3 linked regions of the Callithrix jacchus genome follow. Each later gene encodes a partner of the first gene's protein in a complex. Links are inferred from orthologs where the notes say so. Each region holds a gene or a part of one and is shown on either strand. Other genes may lie near its edges. The genes, in order: SUPT16H, MCM2 and SSRP1.

Region 1 (3,646 bases):
CGTGGTTATCTCTCCGACTTCTGTGTAGAACTGCACATCCGTGTGCCGCTTCTTCCCAAACATGATGGCATTCTGCCATCATAAAGCAGAAAGAAGACGAAAGTCAGAAACACAAAAGTATCTGTGATGGAAATGGCAGTGATCCAAACATGGGCCTCCACAGCATGCATGCAGAAATAATTAAACCATCCCTAGTGTCATCACAAATAATGATGCTTGGGAATGTAAAACGGTGTACATTTTAAAAAGTGCTCTTACTTATTATAGTAACTTTGGAAATTATGCTGGTAACAAATTTTATCCAAAGCAAAACCTATTTATTTTAGAAATAGAAATCTGGAGATCTCATATATTTTGCTGGCCATTGCAACACATCAAAGGAACAAACATGCTTATGAGCACCGTCTAGATGCCAGGCCTTGTGGCCATTAGAGGCATTATTTCATTTAACCATCTTAAGGTTCTTATGTGAAAGGTGATTTTTTCATCACTATTTTATAGGAGGAAAGAAGCTGAGAGAAATGAAGTGTCTTGCCCAAGAGCTTATAGCTAGTTAAGTAGAAAGGTATACCTTGAGGTGAAAGTGCAGGACAATAATCATTTCTCCATCACAGGGCTGGAACAAAGCATGCTTAATATTATTGTACAATATATCCACTTTGTCTCCTCGAACAGATGTGAAGCGGAAGCCTGGGGAAAAGAATGAAGAAATGTCAAGCAGTATAGTTAGGTTAGGCCAGAAGGCACTGCAACTCTTCTGGCTGATTTGAACAGGGTCACAGGACACATGAACAACTGTATAGAGCTTTCCTTTCCTTCTGGCCATATACAGTAGTTTAAGTAGATTTCTCCCAGCATTTCCTTGTCATACCTTACTGGCACCATGCTCTACTCAACTCAGCTAACTGACCGATGACTCCTTGTCATACTTTATTATCTGATCTGTCATTCCTACAAATGTGCCCCTGAAGACAAAGCCTAGGCACACGAGATTATCCATACCATTGACATGGGCCTCTAGTGAGCCTTGCATCCTCTTCTGAGCAATATTTGGGCGAATATATAGATCTTTCAGTTTGGGATTACTCCGGTTTAGATTGATCACAAGTGAGTCTTGTTTTACAATGCCCTAAGCAGGAAGAAAATTAAAGTGAATTGTCATATATCCTTATAAGTCTCCAAAAAATACATATCCTTCTTTGCAGAAGAATATTTTGTCTGTGTTCAGACTCACCTCCTTCTCTTTCTCTTCAGCTTCTCGAGTTTTGTAACGTTTCTGTACTTCTTTTATAATTCGGAAAGCATTCTGAAGGTTCAAGGCTGGTACTGTCTGCTCCCCAGGTGCCTTAATATTTGAAGCTCGGTATGTACTGTCGAAAAGCATCAGCATTTATCGACATTTCTTTTTCAGGCCAGGGAAACTGTACTGATTACTTTATCTTATAAGCATCTTAATCTCTATTTTTTTTTTTTTTTTTTGGAGACAGGGTCTGGCTCTGTCACCACGCCCAATCTCAGCTCACTGCAACCTCTGCCTCCTGGGTTCAAGCCATCCTCCCATGTCAGCCTCCCAAGTAGCCAGGATTACAGGTGCATGCCACCATGCCCAGCTAATTTTTGTTATTTTTAGCAAATACAGAGTTTTGCCATCTTGACCAGGTTGGTCTCAAACTCCTGGCCTCATGTGATCTGCCTGCCTCTGCCTCCCAAAGTGCTAGGATTACAGGTGTGAGCCACCATGCATGCCCATTCCCTTTCTTTTTCTTAAATAAAAAATGTTACAAACGCCTAGTCCACTGAAGTGGGAGAAATCACATTTTCATTTTTCAAATCTGGCCTAACATCTCCAAATTATTCCATTTCACGCCATGAAATTGTAGAATCCAATGTGGCACCAATTTTCTTATTTGAGGCTTCTAATGCAAAATAGGTTTATTAACACTTATTTTCATGATTACTATTTTTTTGAGACAAGGTCTTGCTCTGTTGCTCAGGCTAGAATACAGTGGCAACATCACGGCTCACTGCAGCCTCGACCTCCCAGGCTCAAGGGATCCCACCTCAGCCACCAGAGTATCTGGGATGACGGGTGCACACTACCACACCTGGATCATTTTTTTTTTTTTTTTGGAACGGAGTCTCGCTCTGTTGCCCAGGCTGGAATACAGTGGCGTGATCTTGGCTCACTGCAACCTTGCCTCCTGGGTTCAAGAAATTCTTCTGCCTCAGCCTCCTGAGTAGCTGGGATTGCCAACACCTGCCACCACATCCAGCTAATTTATGTATTTTTAGTAGAGATGGGGTTTCACCATATTGGCCAGGCTGGTCTCAAACTTCCAACCTTGTGATCCACCCGCCTTGGCCTCACAAAGTTCTGGGATTACAGGCATGAACCACTGTGCCCAGCCAAGTTTTTTTTTTTAAGTAGAGACAAGGTCTCAACTACATTACCCAGGCTCAAAATATGTTTAATAAATTTAAAATATTCGGCCGGGCGCAGTGGCTTAAGCCTGTAATCCCAGCACTGTGGGAGGCTGAGGCCGGTGGATCACGAGGTCAAGAGATCGAGACCATCCTGGTCAACATGATGAAACCCCGTCTCTACTAAAAATACAAATAATTAGCTGGGCATGGTGGCGCGTGCCTGTAATCCCGGCTACTCAGGAGGCTGAGGCAGGAGAATTTCCTAAACCCAGGAGGCGGAGGTTGCAGTGAGCCAAGATCGCGCCATTGCACTCCAGCCTGGGTAACAAGAGTGAAACTCCGTCTCAAAAATAAATAAATAAATAAAAAATAATAAAATATTGACCATCTGAAAATAGTACAAAGTCAAGAAGGCAATGTGAAACAAGTATCAATAAGGAAGGCTTTGCCATTTACTAGGTAGGGAAAAATTCAGCAGAGAATGAAATGCTTCTGAGTACCACTCCAGACAGGATGGGTCTGGGCATAACTATTTTTGTGGGGACTCACATTTCCTTGACAAAAGTCGCTTCAGGGTTAGGAAAGATGTTGCCTTCATTCCTGCCCAGAGCACTGCCTGGGCAATAAAAGTTGATTCGCAAGTAAGTATAATCTCCTTCCACGGACATACTTATATTCTGTTCAAAGGAAAAGCATAAATAGTAAACAGATTTCTTTCCTAAATAGAGACTAGTAGTTATAGAGATGTTAAAATTAAGTTAGGAGTTACAAATTGACTGCACTTAACCTTAATCTCAATCTAATAAACTTACATAATTCATCTTTTTAAAAATGAATATTTTTTACCCCCCAAAAAAATCTCTGAATTCTCAAACTACCTTGTACCATGAAAACAACTACAAATTAAATAATGCTTAAGTAAACTTGAAAGAAAGATGGGCAAATCATGTTTCTAGACTAGTTCAACTTTCTACTAAGTGAAAAAAACTGGAAGAGGAAAGAGAATGACAGGGTAAGAGGAAAGTCAGTAAACTGAACAGAGTCTGAAGGAGCCTATTGTGGGAGACGTGATCAATGCAGATTATTTATGGCAAATACAATTCCTATTTTAAGAAATGGTTTGGATAAAACCTGATGCATTCAATGTTAGTACCTTGATAGTGGCAATGTGAAAAGGTGTTGCAATGCCAAACACAGGCATTATTACAGTCTCATATTTCTT
Region 2 (4,156 bases), on another chromosome or scaffold:
TCGGAGAAATGTCTAGAGTAGACACAAGAAAAAGCATGAATTAGGAAATAAGCAGCTTATAGTTGGGAGGAATGCCTAGAGCAGACACAGTGCAAAGCCGATTTAAGGGAAACACAGTTATACCAGGACAAGAATCCATGGCCCAGGCAGCAGCATTCAGTTTCATAAAGATACCTGCTGTATGGCAGGCTTGGGGCAAGAGCCACTCCTCCTGATAAAGGAGTTGTAGGACCTTGCTCCAGTTATTGTGGAAGGCTGCCCTCAGACCAGCAATCGCACCTTGGTGACTGTGAACTTGATCAGCTCTTGTTACTATGCTGCTCGAAAAGCATCTTCCTGTAGAACTCACTGGAAGCTGCCAGCAGGTGGCGGTAACGCTGATAGCTCTGTCGTTACTGTGTAACTTCAATCTTCATGGAAGTAATTTGCCCATAAATAGAGGTATTGTACACTGCACCCTCTTCACTGCGCACTGCCCACCTCCATGCCTTGAGGACCTAATGGGAATGGACCCCTTGCTGCGCACTGTCCATCTCCTAGCCTAGGTGACCTAATGGGGGGAGACCCCTTGTTTTATTGCTCACGACCCTATCACTATCCTTAAAGATGATTTCACTCACTGCCCTGCCCCCTAACCTATTCACAATAAATACGCTTCTGAACATTCGGGGCCTCGCCTGACTCCGCTCATAGGTGGCGTGGCCCCTCAAGCCCAGCTGCGTTTTCCTTGTACTTCTTTGTCCTATTTCTCAGATCCTGCGCCTCAGCACAGCATAAGGGACACCCCACAACCCTACACTGCTTCCTGTCTTTTTGAGTTGCTGTGTCCTATTGGAGTCCTCCAGATTAGAGGCCCCTGCATTTTCTGGGGTGCTTATGGAGTTGGGCTTACCGAGACCTTAGGGTCTAGTCTCTGCAAGTTACATACAGTAAGTTAGAGACCTATGTCATTGCTCTCTAAACCTGTCTCCCCAGAACACTGGACCAAGCTAAAGAGACCTATGCCATGGCTCTGTAAACCTGTCTCCCCACAACGCTGGACCAAGCTGTGCTCAAAGGCAAGAATGCCATCGGATTCATCTCCCCCCAGCTCCCATAACAAGGCCACCAAACGCACAATGGGATCTCTGCAAAACTATCTGCTGAGTCCAGGGCTTTGAATGAAATTACCTCTCCATGCCATCTCCAATGAGCTCCTCTCCATCCTCTTCTTCCTCCAGGGGCCCCTCTGTGCCTAGGAGCCCCTCAGACTCATCCTCAAAGGGTGGAAGGTCACGGCCAGGGCTGGAGGTCAGGGCATCAATGCGTCGGGAGCTCCGGCCAGGGCTGGAGGTGAGAGGATCATTGCCTCGCCGACGCCTAGCCGGGCTGGATGCCACGGTGAAGGACTCCGATGATTCCTGCAAGAGAAGGTGTCACTATCAGAAACCTAGGAGGCCGGTGAGGCATGATACAGCTTCCTTTTTATCATCAGGGGGACTTCCCTCCTATCTCACCACCTGTGAGTCTTGTCCTCCAACACACCAAACCCCTTCCAGCCTCCAGATCTTTGCACTTGCTGGTCTCTCACCTGGAATGCTCTCTGCTGAGCAGTCTGAGCCAGTGGCTTCCAAACAGGAGCCAGCTCAAATATCGGGTCACTCATATCACCATGCTTTCTCCATGAAAAACCAGAGGCTTTGTCATTTGCTTATTTACCTGTTTACTGTCTATTGTCTCCCCCTTATGCATTCGACCTGTTTCAGCACACACAGTGCGAGAGGTATTGTGACAGAGATAGATGGCATACAAGAGCCACCAAAACAAGGAGTCTGGAACTCCGACGTGGAAGAGTCAGTACAGAAGACAAAGGAGCAAGAAAATACTACGATAGTTAAGTGTAGTGTTCAGAACACAGATTACTGGGAATATATTTTTTTAAAAGTTTAAAGAAGTGTAGATGAGGAGGGAGACCCAGGCAGGCATTTGGGATTTCCTCCCCCTCTGTCATTCACTGTGCATCTCAATAGAAGAGAGAGTAGGCCAGCTGGCGCCTCCTTGCTCCGCTCTTCCTTGAAAACAACAGGCTAGGCCTTGGGGAAACTCTCCAGAAGGCACGAATTTTACTTAAAACAAGATCAACCCAGAAACCTTTTCACATGTGAGTCCTAAAACTGTAAACCGGAACCCTCTCATATGTGATTCCTGAAACTGTAAACTAAAACCTTTTCACATGTGAGTCCTAAAACTATGAATCTAAAATTCTTCCACATGTAACATCTAAAGTATAAGCCTATATAAAAGCTGAACCTTCCTTTGTTAGACCAGCTTGGCTGTTAGGCACTTATGCCACCTTGCTCCCAGCTGAAATGAATTCCTTCCTCCTGTATTCAGTGTCGGAGAGATCCTTTCCCGCGGCCGCTCCAGCTACATAGTGAGATGGGGGCCTGCCTTTTGTACGCTCAGCTACATAGTGAGATGGGGGCCTGCCTTTTGTACGCTCAGCTACATAGTGAGATGGGGGCCTGCCTTTTGTACGCTCAGCGCCGGGCATACGCCAAATAAGCATGTGTGGGATGAGTAAAGGACAGGGGCTGAGCGGGCCAGGCTCGGGTTAGGGAGCCCAAGACCCCAGATCAGCTCAAGGAAGGCGAGTCGCCAGGAGGCCTGGCGTCATGCGGGGTGCAGGCGGGAAAGCAGCCGCGCCCCGGAGCCTGGGGCTCAACCTCACCTAGAGCGCCGACCCGGACCACAGCCAGAGTGCGAGAACCGCGCAGCCTCCACACCTCTGTCCCGGCGTCCGCACCACCCCACCCGCCCCGCTCCCGCGCGCTCACCGCCATTGCAGTACCCCGCTCCTCTCCTCGACTCCAACAACAACCAGTTTTCGCGCGAAAAGTGGCTCACGTGACCCACCAAAGCCCGGGAAGCGCCCGACGGAACGCGACGTCATGACGTCGACGTTCGTTGGCAACCAGCTGGGTCACGAAGGGGCAGGCTAGAGGGTCCTGCCCCGCCCACGCCGTCCGGTGGTCCCGCCCACAACGCCCGAGCTGTCCTGGCCGGAGCCGGGAGTGTGCGGCTGGGTGCTGCGCGCGTGCGCTCACCTGCGCTGGCGTGGGAGCCTGAGCCGAGGTAGAAGCTTCGGCTCCAGGGCCTCCGACCACAGCTGCTGGCTGCGTGACCTCGGTCACATCAGGACCGTTTTACTGACAAGGCAACAGAGGTTTAGAGCCTGGTTTTCTCACGCCTTATTGTCTTATGAGAATTTTTTAACTGCCCCCAAAGCTCTAAGGCTCAATGCTTCAGGCAGCTGGACAATTCTGGGATTTTGTAGGTCACAACTGAAGCTTTAGTAGGAGTTATCTTTGTCCAAGGGAGCGAAGATGCAGGGAGGATGTTCCAGATAGAAGGATGCCATGTGCAAGGCCGCGGAGGGCACGGCACAGCGGGAATGTGCAAGCCCCTCCCTCAGAACTAAGAGCCCTCCCTAAACTCCTCCCTAAGACTAGAAGCTTGTGACGCCGGGCAACCGACAAGACTTGATGGAGACAGAATCCAGATCAAAAAAGAGCTCGATGTTTTTCTAGAGGGTTTGAGCATTCTGTATTCTGAAGGTAATGGAAGGCCATGGAAGCATTTTGAGCAGGGTGAGACGTGAACCAATGTGGGTTTTAGAATCCCTCCAGCTGCCACCAGGTGGAAGTGGATTGACCGAGGTTAAAGGCAGCAAATGAGGAGGTTGCTGTGGTTCTTTTCTAGTTACAGGCAGCTCAAAATAGGGCCTTAGTAGCAGAGTCAGGGCTGAATCGCAGCCCTCTTAGACACTTTGTGCAGTGAACAAGCATTTCTGCATGGACCCAGGGTAGGGGCAGGAGTGAAGGAGAGGACTGGAAATACAAGATGTTTAGGAGGTGGGGATTTTTTTTTTTTTTTTTTTTTGACCGAGTCTTGCTCTGTGCCCAGGCTGGAGTGCAGTGGCGTGATCTCAGCTCACTGCAACGTCTGCCTCCCGAGTTCAAGCTATTCTCTTGAGTAGCTGGGAACCATGCCCAGTTAATTTTTGTATTTTTAGTAAAGATGGGGTTTCACCATGTTGGCCAGGCTGGTCTTGAACTCCTTACCTGAAGTGATCTGCCTGCTTGGCCTCCCAAAGTGCTGAGATTATAGGTGTGAG
Region 3 (3,646 bases), on another chromosome or scaffold:
TCCCCCTAGCTTGGCTAATGGAGTGTAACTGGGAGACTTCCTAATCGGATCAGCTCTCATTTCTAGACTCTCAGGTGGCCCATCCCGGCAGAAGAGGGTGAAAACCAATGTTTGTCCAGCCGGGAACAGACCATGATGTACCTGGAGACTTACTTCCTGGCTGGCCAGGAAGCCTCTGCCCAATGTGGGCAGAGCAGTATCCACCACCAATAAAAGTGGGAGCAATGCACCAGGGCTACGAAGAAAGCAGAAGGACATTGTTTCCAAAGTCAGTTCCCTTTATTAAATGATTTTCACAGACCAGAAATACAAAATAAAAGTAGAAATAGGCCCCCGGTAGGAGCTACAGGCCTGGCCTCACATGACCTCTGCTGCAGCAACTTGAACAGGACAAGCAGCAGCTACATCGTTAAGGTCGGGAAAGTAAGATGAGGATTTGGATCCTGCATTGCCCTGCCTCCCACCCTATCTCTCCCCAAATAATAAACGGCCATCCTTGGGAAGCAGCAGAGTTAAGACATCTCCCCACTGCCCTAGTGACATACACACCAGCAGGAGAGCGTGTTCAGATGGCACAGAATCCAGGGACTACATTTCATGAGGAGAAACTGGTACCAAAATATGGGTGGGGAGTCGGGGGTTGTGAGAAGGCAAGCGCAAAGAGGAGAACCTTCCTCCGTTTCTACTCATCGGATCCTGACGCTGAGTCTTCTGAGCTAGGGGGAGTACTGGCTAGTTCTTCTTCTTCAGAGTCCTGAAAACCAAAGTTGTCTTAAGGGAAAAGGTGGGGGTCCCAGCCACTCTTCAGTGAAGGGCCCACAATTCCCTACCGCCCCCCAGCTGCAGCACCCACCCTCACAACCTCGGAATTCCACCATCCACTCCGACTCATTACCCCTCGCACTGCCCAGCCCAGAGTCCCCACGTTCCTGCCGCACCTCGCTCCGCCTCCTCTTCTTTTTGCTCTTGTTCTCTCCAGAAGAGCTCTCATCACTAGACACAAACTCTTTGCTTTTGAAGCTCTCGCTTAGCTGCCTTGAGGCCGACTTGGATGATGAGCCCCTAGAAGGTGTGGACTTCTTTTCCATCTTTACCTTTACTTTCTTCTTCTTCTTTGACTTGTCCCTGTTTTGGCAAGAGGGAAGAGGAGCTGGGCCTTCGGATCCCCTCACTCTCAGCATGGCCAGACCTCTCCCAGCTTCAACAAGGCCTTTCCCGATCCCAGCCACACCACCCATTTCACTCTGAACATAAATAGCCGTGTCAGTCTGAAGGGCACCAAGGGAGAATATCATGAGCACACCAGAAGGATTAGAGGGCATAGCCTAAAGCAGCCCCATATGCAAAGCCTACTTGACATTTCTTGCTTTACTTTTTAAATTTCATGTGAATTGTGTATTGCACTCCATCATAGTATTTTTTTTTTCATTCCCCCATACCTTCAAATAAAATGGTCCAGGAAAATGGGCCATATTTCCCTAATGACCTGAATGTCCTATCGTAATACCCAATACTTGGGCAATGGCCTACCCAGGTTTGAGAAGCACTACCTAAATCAGCCTGTAAAAAAAAAAAAAATCTGCCACAAAAATCAAGTTACTGGTCCATGTTCTTGATACTCACCTCTTAGAAGACTCGCCTCGGCCACCTTCATATTCCTTCATGGCTTTTTCATATTCCCTCCTGGCATCCTCAGCCTTGCGATCCCACTCCTGTCTCACAAACACAGAAAAATATAGCAAAGAATAAGACCTCTCCCCTCTCCCCTGATACAGGCAAAATCAATACACAAAGTCCCGCCAATGGCTCCTACTGCTCCCCATCAGTCCTGAGACTCACCACCCCAAGACAGCACCCCTTGCCAGCCCATGAGATGCATCATCCTTCCTCTGCTGCCACTCACCTCTTTCTTCTCTTTGGACATTCCCTTCCAGATCTCGCCAGCCTTCTTGGAAAGATCCGTGATACTGATGCCAGGATGGTCTGACTTGATCTTCTCTCGGCTGGCATTGAGCCACAGCATGTAGGCAGACATGGGCCTCTTGGGGGCATTGGGGTCTTTGCCCTTCTTCACCTACATAAGAACCCAAATGCCTTCAGCAATTTCCCATAGAACCCTACATTTTCCCAAAGAAGTTATTTAGATCACCTAACCTGGAGAAAAAGTAGAGGACTAAATAGCATCAGGCTAGATGAGAGCTTGTTAATGGCAAGGATAGCATCCCCTTCCTCTCTGCAGCTCAGTGCTTAGCTTACCAGGGGCCCCCTTTCCTCTGGGCTCCTGGGACAGAAGCCCATCTCCTAATTCAAATCTTCTAGAAGCTTAATAATCTCAGGGCTAGTGAGAAAAATTTCCAAGAAAGTACCCCTCAAGGTTATAATCACTGGCTACAAAAAACAGCCCCAAGGAAGACCAATGAACAGGTTCCTACTGGTGGTGGACAGGAAAAGGTAAAGCGAATGCCTCCCACCCCTGCACACCACACACGACCCCTCCCATCTACAGTCTGCACCTCCACAGGCTTCTTTCGGCTCTTGCGGTCCTTGGCCATCTTGGCCTTTTTGAGCTGTTTCCGCTTCTTCTCATCCCGGTCACTGTCACCCTCATTACTGGAAGAGCTGGCAGAGGCATTGCTGTCAAACCTACCAGAGGGCAAGCCAGGCTTAGACTTGGGGAGGAAGGACAGCATCCCACGGCCTCGGGACAGGAGGAAAACAAATCCAAAGATACCCACCCAAAAGGGGCAAGAGAGGAAGGCCAGAGGACAGCGTGCACCACCCATCCCTAACACTGCTTCCTCCCATTCACTCAGGTGGCGTCAACCATGCTCTCTCCAGACCCAACCACAGTAATGGCTTACTTGATGAATTAATTAATGAAAAACAAATCAATCAGTGGGCTTCTGCTGCTCTCCCTGGGCATGGCCAAACCGGTTCCATGTCCATCCCCAGGACCCCATGGGCAGAAACACTGCCTCATTCTTGCCTGGAACATAGCCAAAATCCACTTTACCACTTCCTTTGGAGTAATCGTTTTAATCTACCCTACAGTCTTTTTTTTTTTTCTCTTGTCAGATGGGTAATGTGCCGAGGTCATAACAAGGCTGGAGGATGGCATGCTTCACACACGCACGTGAACACCCAGCCATCATGTTTATGAACTATGAAAGGATCGGCCCCTACAGTCTTTTCTGATAAAAAATAATCAGTTACTACAGAAAGAGGAAAACCAACTTCAGTTTGACCCAGTACAGACCCCTGTAATTGACAGTCTTATTTGATATATGTGAAACTTCTCAAAAATGGAATATGCTGCTGGACAGTTTTCAAGGCACTTTCGCAAGTATTTGCTCATTAAACTTTCATAAGCATGTGGCAAGCTGAACTAGTGGACCCCTGTTGGGTTTTTTTGGTGCCCGACATTCTTTTGCAATACTTCTGGATTAAGAGAGCAGACTCCCAATATTCTGTTGGGAACCACCAGAGTGGGGGCAACCCCAACCACAGGCTCTAAGGGTGGGCACTTGGCCTATTTCTGGCGCATCAGAGCCCTGTCCATCCTAATAACTCAGACTTGGAAGGGGCAGGTAACCACTCTGTTCACTACGCTGTTCACCAAAAGAGGTACTTCTGGTGCTGTTTTAAA

Evidence for each region.
Region 2: the proteins of SUPT16H (region 1) and MCM2 are in contact, whole or in part, in a crystal structure (PDB 8YJF), measured with the Homo sapiens proteins. The link is inferred for Callithrix jacchus from reciprocal best matches to the Homo sapiens genes SUPT16H and MCM2. Residues at the interface, in NP_009123.1 of Homo sapiens: Gln898, Ser899, Leu900, Asn901, Lys904; in NP_004517.2 of Homo sapiens: Ile73, Gly74, Asp75, Met77, Tyr81.
Region 3: SUPT16H (region 1) and SSRP1 share a complex: the UniProt entries of both Homo sapiens proteins name them as parts of the FACT complex. The link is inferred for Callithrix jacchus from reciprocal best matches to the Homo sapiens genes SUPT16H and SSRP1.

The regions. Positions count from the first base shown.
Region 1 is NC_133509.1:55,857,972-55,861,617, forward strand, and holds part of SUPT16H (FACT complex subunit SPT16), read right to left. Parts: coding exon 3,578-3,646; intron 3,102-3,577; coding exon 2,974-3,101; intron 1,371-2,973; coding exon 1,235-1,370; intron 1,130-1,234; coding exon 1,003-1,129; intron 691-1,002; coding exon 572-690; intron 73-571; coding exon 1-72. UniProt on the Homo sapiens protein: Component of the FACT complex, a general chromatin factor that acts to reorganize nucleosomes. The FACT complex is involved in multiple processes that require DNA as a template such as mRNA elongation, DNA replication and DNA repair.
Region 2 is NC_133516.1:75,791,382-75,795,537, forward strand, and holds the start of MCM2 (DNA replication licensing factor MCM2), read right to left. Parts: upstream 2,862-4,156; 5' UTR 2,823-2,861; coding exon 2,817-2,822; intron 1,401-2,816; coding exon 1,171-1,400; intron 1-1,170. UniProt on the Homo sapiens protein: Acts as a component of the MCM2-7 complex (MCM complex) which is the replicative helicase essential for 'once per cell cycle' DNA replication initiation and elongation in eukaryotic cells.
Region 3 is NC_133511.1:114,897,772-114,901,417, forward strand, and holds the end of SSRP1 (FACT complex subunit SSRP1), read right to left. Parts: intron 3,174-3,646; exon of another isoform or gene 3,070-3,173; intron 2,644-3,069; coding exon 2,514-2,643; intron 2,075-2,513; coding exon 1,904-2,074; intron 1,713-1,903; coding exon 1,624-1,712; intron 1,126-1,623; coding exon 939-1,125; intron 755-938; coding exon 683-754; 3' UTR 261-682; downstream 1-260. UniProt on the Homo sapiens protein: Component of the FACT complex, a general chromatin factor that acts to reorganize nucleosomes. The FACT complex is involved in multiple processes that require DNA as a template such as mRNA elongation, DNA replication and DNA repair.